Linked DNA regions of Xenopus tropicalis. Each later gene encodes a partner of the first gene's protein in a complex. Links are inferred from orthologs where the notes say so. Each region holds a gene or a part of one and is shown on either strand. Other genes may lie near its edges.

Region 1 (3,242 bases):
GGTACCGGCAATGAATCATGTGCACTTGTGATAAAGTGTGCATGAAGCACTTGAAACATTTGGCTTTTGTGTGCACTCCATAATAAATACTTTTGAAGGTATTATTTATTTATTTTTTACACCAGTTGATATCGCTTGTGTGCATCCTCTTTTTGTCCTTCTATTGTTACTTGCACATTTTGAGCCTGGCACTTTCTGAGAGGTTGCACCAATGGATTCAAATCTTTACTGAAACAAGGGGAACCGTTATTGTATGAAATGTTTGTTTGTTATGGAAGGTAGATTGGTGTTAACATCTGTCTCCCTTTACAGGTAAAAGTCCTGGATATGTAACACCAAAAAAGCCAGCTTTATCAGCTAGTGCAAGAAAAATCAAAGACAATGCAGCAGACTGGCATAATCTGATGCTTAAATGGGAGACATATAATAATGATTCATTTACTATAGCAAGCAAGATTGTTAATCTAAAAATAATTACTGAGTAAGTATTTGTGTGTGCCTAAGAGGTGTTTCACCTGCTGTCAACATGTGCGGTCTCGCAGGTTCAAGTAATGAAGTTCTTAAAACCTAGGCTTTGTGTTGCCACTGAGTCCTGGTGTATTTGTCCTTAAATATTATATATTTTGTTTGTCTAATATTCAATACATAATGCACAACTGAAAACTACAGCCTTGGCAACGTACACCGATGTATTCTTAAGGTGAAGACACATGGAGCTATTTAGTAGCTGCTACTTGTCACGGCTACTACACTCCATAAAATACCCTGCCATAGACAATACTGAGAATTGCCTCTGCTAAAACACACGCAGAGACAACTATCAGTAAATGATCAGCATTATCTCTTTTAGTAGCCTCGACAAATAGCTGCTACTAGTAGTTCCGTGTGTCTTCACCCTTATTGTGTTTAATGTATTGAATATTAGACAAAACAAAATATATAATATTCAAGGTTCAGTATCTACACAGATCCTTATCACCTGAGGGTGACGAGCCCTGAAATCTGCATTGGAAGTGTCAGTAGCACATAGACACAATGAACTTTGCTTTTTTTTTTTTTTATTGTATGTGTAGATCTGCAGATAGCATGTTGGATGAAACCACACCTAATAAGGATAATATAACGACAGACAAAGTGGAATTGGACAGACTGTGCTCAGAATTACTTCACATATTAGAAAATATGGTATGTTACTAGACCAAAATAATGTAATCCTGTATCAGTCATTGGTTGCATTGCATGTATTTCTGTATGTTAAGTGTATAAATCTAGTTGTTGTACAGTGCTGTGGAATGTTGGCGCTTTATAAATAGATGTTAATAAAATGAATATGCATTGTATTTTACCCCTAAGGAAAAAATATGGACCAAGCTGGAGAAGATAACCGTCACTTTTAAAGGAATCTGTGACCTTGAAGCATATCAGTTTCCTGGTGACATTTCTAAGCCAGTTCATTTTCACACTTGGCCAACAACCCTTTTCTGTAAGTAGAACTTATATAAATAACACACTATGCTGTAAGAAATATGAAAAATAATAATGAAACCATTCTATTAGAGCAGTTCTGTCCAACTGGCGGCCTGAGAGTCCCCTCTGTGTGGGCCCCCCCACCTGTCTGGCTGCTTTGTGTAAGCTTGAAATGGTATCAGTACTGAGTTTAACTGGCCCCCTGCAAGGTTCACACCTCAGATTCAGGCTGTACAACTCCAAAGGTCCCCATACACCATAAGATCTGCTCGTTTGGCGATGTCACCCGGTGAGCGGATCTTCTCCCAATATCCCCCACCTACGGGTGGGCGATATTGGGAGAATCCAGGGTAATTCGATCGTTTGGCCCTGGGGCCGATTAGCTGCCAAATCAGTCCAAGGGACCATTATCGACAGCTACTATCAGCCCGTGTATGGGGACCTTTACACAGCTCTTCTGTTATAATATTTTTTTCTATTGTCATTTAAACAACTGCTTGCTGAAAGACAGGATCATTGCAAGATAACATTTTAAATTTAACTAGAGAGCTGTAGAACACAATGTAAACAAAACAATTTGAAAACTACAAAGACAAAGTTAAATCCAATATTATCTTCTCACTGTATATTCCATAGTAAAATAAATTATATTTAACTTCCCTTTTATTTACAGAAACCCGATAGAGATTACAGGCATGCTAGCCAATTGTGAATAAAATGTTTGTTGTTAAAGAGAGTCTAATAAAATGTTTTGAACTGGCAGATAAGTGATAAGATTTCCCATAAAATATCTCTTTGTGCTTCAGAATAGAGTAAGGTGTGCTGTAATTTTATACTGCTTTATCAGAATACAGGATGAATGTTAAGGCTTAGGATGGCATTTATTCATCAGCATCTGTGACCTCTCAAAAACAGTCTATGGTATTGCATTTTTATAAAAAAAATGATTAACTTTTAATGCAACATTTCATTCTTCATCTATTGCCTTTCAGATGAGACCTCCAAAACAATGGTAGATATGTACAAGAAAGAAATGGAGCTTAAAAGGACTATTATCGGGGATCTTGCACATACATCAGATCAGGACTTACGGATGGTGTATTTATCGTGTTGGTTATACCAGCCTTATATTGACAACAACATCAAAGTCTTACTTGAAAGCATGCTGCTGGAAACAGGACACAGAACCTTTTGATGGTTTTGGACCCTTTAGGGCTCTGGTACACGGGGAGATTAGTCGCCTGCAACAAATGTCCCTTGTTGCGGGCAACTAATCTCCCCGACTGACATCCCACCGGTGAAAATGTAAATCGCCGGTGGGATGGCATATGCCGCGGCGCGACCTCCGAAGTTGCCTCTCGAGGCAACTTCAGCAATTTCTGCAAATCGCGCCGCTGCTTATGCCATCCCAATGGCAATTTCAATTTTCGCCGGTGGGATGTCATATCGGGGGGAAAATTAGTTGCCCGCAACAAGGGACATTTGTCACAGGCGACTAATCTCCCCGTGTACCATTTAAATGTAAATCGCCGGTGGGATGTCATATCGGGGAGATTATTCGCAGGCGACTAATCTCCCCGTGTAGCAGAGCCCTTAAAAGGTTAAATACACTGGAGGGGGGTGCCAGTGTACTAGGCACCACTGAACATCTAGTACATTAGCCCCCGGGATAGTGTTCCTATTCATTCAAATGCACCAGAACAGGGTACTGTCCTTTAAAGGAACAGTAACACCAAAAAATGAAAGTGTATAAAACTAACTAAAATATGATGCGC
Region 2 (4,153 bases), on another chromosome or scaffold:
TCACTTTCATAATAAGGCAAAAACAGCTTATCTGACGATAGATGTCACTGGAAATGCTCAGAATATCTCATCTGTTTCTTCTCAGCCTACCTGGCAGCCTGCACCTGGCAGTGTTCTCCGCAAATATTTTCAACTTTTGTTTAAATACTTGGGGATATATTTATCAAAGAGTAAAAGAGCGTGTTGCAGTCTGCCAGAGTGAAATTCCGCCACCTTCCATTTATTTCTTTGGGATTTTTCAGAGTATTTATCAATAAATAAAGGTGAAAGTTCACCTTTTGATAAACATGCATTTAAAAATACCATAGAAATGATTAGAGTGGAGGAATTTCACTCTAGAGGACTGTAGCAAGCTCTAATTTCACTCTTTGATAAATATACCCCTGGATTTATGCCAGGGATCCCCAACCTTTTATATCTGTGAGTCACATTCAAATGGAAAAAGTGCTGGGGAACAACACAAGCAGGGAAAAAGTTCCTGGGGTGCAAATAAGAGCTATAATTGGCTATTTGGTAGCCCCTATGTGGACTGGCAACCTGCAGAAGGCTCTGTTTGGGTTTTATGCAATCAACAGTTGCCTCCAAGCCAGAAATTAAAAAATAAGCACCTGCTTTGAGGCCACTGGGAGAAACATCCAAGGGGCTGGGGAGAAACATGTTGCTCACGAACCACTGATGGGGATCACTGATTTATGCTGTGGAAACAAGAATTGTTAAATTTTAATCCTTGAAAAACCAGAAGGGAAAATGCTGCTGGCTGGGGGACCAGGGGAGAAATAGGGGAGTTGACAGCTCTATACTTTAAAGTACAAAAACACTTTAAAGATGACTAGTGACAGGCAATTCTAACCTTTTTTGTTTTGCCAAAAATACACAAATCGTAATTAGTAGGCTTTCTTTGTAAAACTAATTTTTGCTGCCATTGGAGTCCATGGACTTTTTTATGGCAAAATACCTGGTGAAGAAAACTTCACCTGGGCCTTGGTTGCACTAAAAGAGAAAATATGTATTGTTTTCAGTTCCCTGCCACAGATGGAAGCTGAGCAGAAATTATAAGGCTTCTGAGAAATTTTGGGGAGCTGTGATAGCGGAGGGCACAACCAACACAAAAATTCTTTTTTCGCTCTTTCTTTTTTTTTCCTCTATGAGGTGCAACCAAGATTTTTTTTTGTAAGCAGACTCAACGCCGCATACTAGACACTTCTAATTGCGTAACGCCGTTACGTCGTCTCCGCTCTTCAGTCTTAACGCCAAATCTCGCGAGATGAGACTTGCGCAGTCGGGATTTTCTGACAGAAGCATGAGACTTGCTGTTAACTTTTCCGAAGGCAGGAGTAGCGCTCTGAGTTTGCGGTGTGTGTTAGGTAAAGCGCAATTCTTGGGCACTGTGCATATTCTTGTATTAGAGGGTGAAGTTTGAACTCCCCCCGAATATTAATGCATACAGTGTTTTGTCATGGAAACCATGTTTCAATAATTAATACGTTTTTTTTAGATGTTATCGTCAGGATTCTTCATTGATGGATACGGTTCTAAAATGTCTACCCTCCAACCCAGACGACCATTGCTCACAACGATGCAGACTTGGTCCCAAAGCGATGGCTTTGATTGGAGCAAAAGTCGGATTCCCGGTTCTTGTCTCCTTGCAGAGTGGAAGCTGCTTGTGCACTGCTTGGCCCAGGAGAGATCTGTGCGATGGCTTTGTGCAAGCTGATTATATGTGCTCGACTTCACATAAACCCATGGCTGTATTTAAGGACACCGGCATATGTTTAAATCAGATAAAATCCATGGCTTCTACCAAACTCAGAAAGGTCTCAGTGAAAGTTGTAGTGAGAAGCCTAGATGTGAAGCGGGCTACCTCAGAAGCAGCACTCCTTGAGACTGTCAGAGATCTACTAAGAAACGTTTTTGTGCTGAATGATTATGTGTTATCTGTAAATGCAGATTCCCCAGTTGTTCACATTGAAATACTTGATACAGATCCTGCAACAAGCAATGCCGGCCTTATTACAGGCAAAACAAGCATAGTCATTAAAGAAGTCATCACCCTTGAATGGTACAAACATAAGTTACAGGAGGCCCCTCAATTAAAGGTTGCGGCTATGGATGACACGTGTGCCTCACTAAAGGAAATAATTCATATGCCGTTACATTATCCAGAGACCATGCACAAACTTGGCCTCCCTTGCCCGAAAGGTGTTCTCTTGATTGGGCCCCCAGGGGTTGGAAAGACCCTTTTGGTAAAGGCTGTAGCTAGAGAAGTCGGGGCGTATGTAATTGGCCTGAGTGGTCCCGCAATTCACGGCTCAAGACCTGGAGAAAGCGAAGAGAATTTACGGAAGATTTTTGAAAAAGCAAGAGAAGCTGCATGTAGTGGCCCAGCTCTGCTCTTTATAGATGAAGTTGATGCCTTATGTCCTAAACGTGGCCATTCAAACAGTGCTCCCGAAAACCGCGTTGTTGCTCAGCTGTTAACTCTAATGGATGGTATTGACAGTGACAATAAGATGGTTACTGTAGCTGCAACAAGCAGGCCTGATGCCATTGATCCAGCATTAAGAAGACCAGGCAGATTTGACAGGGAGGTAAATATAAAAATAATTTTTCTTTTGTCTCCTTTAACAGCCCCACAAAATAAGCTGTTGGCATCTGACAGATAATGTGAGAGATCTCATGAGTAGGATAAGACCTGGGACTTCACCACATTTCAAAAAGACATCATTATATGTATTTAGCATGTAACCTCAGTAGCCTAAGCTATTCTCTTTGTAATATATATATATATATACTTGGGTTACCTCTGCTATTGTCTGTTTTACTTACGAGAGAGAGGGAGAGAGAGAAAATAAAAAAGACCAGCAACTCTGGGATTTCTTGTGAAAAAATCAAAACATATATTTAAAGTAGCATAAACAGCCGACGTAACGTTTCGGTCCCCAGCATAACCTAGCGTCTCTAGCATGTATGCCCTTGGTGTTTTTGTGACCCAGTGAATTGTATGAGCCAGGGGGAAGGTCCTTAGCATTAACAAATGTCAATTTCTACTTAGGTTTATTCAGTGGCAAATACTGCTAGAAAAGGATGTTTTTATTAAAATTAAGCAGTGTTTTACATATGGGCTATTATATGCACTATAATTTTACAGAGACCTACATTGTTCAGGGGTATAGTTTTTTTTGTTTATTTATTGCATTTGAGCATCCATTTGAAAAAAATGCTAATCTGCAACCAATCATTTTTTGGCTTACATATATGTTTTTGCCTGTTAGAAAAGTCACACTACTTAAGTTGCTTTATTAATGTTAGAATTATCACTTAAAGGAGAAGGAAAGGCTAATAAAGAGTTAATCTCAAGCTGCAGGCATACCTTCAGTTGTCTCAATAGTGCCCTTAAGTCTCCCCATACTTCATCTGTTCAGAAGATCAGAAGCCAAACAGGAAAATAAAACGCTGAGCAGGGTAGAGAAGATTCCCATAATGCATCGCTCCTTTCCTAGACTTTCTACTGTAGGCGGCGCATGCGCACACAGCAGGAGCGTCTGGTCGCCATGGCGGTGGTGAACGCTGTGGAGGGGAGCGGGGGCAGGGACAGGTGTGGGGAGCGAAGGACGGTTTGTGGCAGGAGCTTGGAGCGAAGCGGAAGGTTGGTGGGTGAGTGCTGTATGTAACAGTGCTGTATGGCACATGCTGTATTCCATCTGTATCTTTTCCTCCTAGTGCCGAGCGGCGGCGGCAGGGGCGGGGGGGGGTTGCTGCTGGCAGTGTTGATCTGTTTCTCCTCCTGACAATGCCGAGCGGGGTGGGGGGGGTCGGGGGGTGCTGCCAGCAGTGTCGATCTGTTTCTCCTCGTGACAGTGCCGAGCGGTGGCAGCAGCGGGGGAAGGGGGGGGGGTGCTGCCGGCAGTGGAAGCTCTGTGTGTTGATCTGTGACATGCTGGGGGGGGGGGGATGTGGCAGGACACTCTGTGACATGCTGGACAAGATGGCGGCGCCGTTCACTGAAACAAGTGTGTAGGTTCTAGTAAATGTATCTCTGTAAATCTTTCATTAGGCAAGCCAGAAATATAGCATTTTTACACAGCAATAGTAGTACTATTTAATAGTGTGCTTAATAGATTTTGACTTTCCTTGTCCTTTAAGCATACCACAA

What was found. The genes of interacting proteins can lie anywhere in the genome.
Region 2: cinp (region 1) and spata5l1 share a complex: the UniProt entries of both Homo sapiens proteins name them as parts of the 55LCC heterohexameric ATPase complex. The link is inferred for Xenopus tropicalis from reciprocal best matches to the Homo sapiens genes CINP and AFG2B.

The regions. Positions count from the first base shown.
Region 1 is NC_030684.2:97,537,426-97,540,667, reverse strand, and holds the end of cinp (cyclin-dependent kinase 2-interacting protein), read left to right. Parts: intron 1-312; coding exon 313-481; intron 482-1,073; coding exon 1,074-1,185; intron 1,186-1,353; coding exon 1,354-1,483; intron 1,484-2,459; coding exon 2,460-2,662; 3' UTR 2,663-2,742; downstream 2,743-3,242. UniProt on the Homo sapiens protein: Component of the DNA replication complex, which interacts with two kinases, CDK2 and CDC7, thereby providing a functional and physical link between CDK2 and CDC7 during firing of the origins of replication.
Region 2 is NC_030679.2:104,568,638-104,572,790, forward strand, and holds the start of spata5l1 (spermatogenesis-associated protein 5-like protein 1), read left to right. Parts: upstream 1-1,353; 5' UTR 1,354-1,364; intron 1,365-1,495; coding exon of another isoform or gene 1,496-1,520; coding exon 1,521-2,588; intron 2,589-4,153. UniProt on the Homo sapiens protein: ATP-dependent chaperone part of the 55LCC heterohexameric ATPase complex which is chromatin-associated and promotes replisome proteostasis to maintain replication fork progression and genome stability.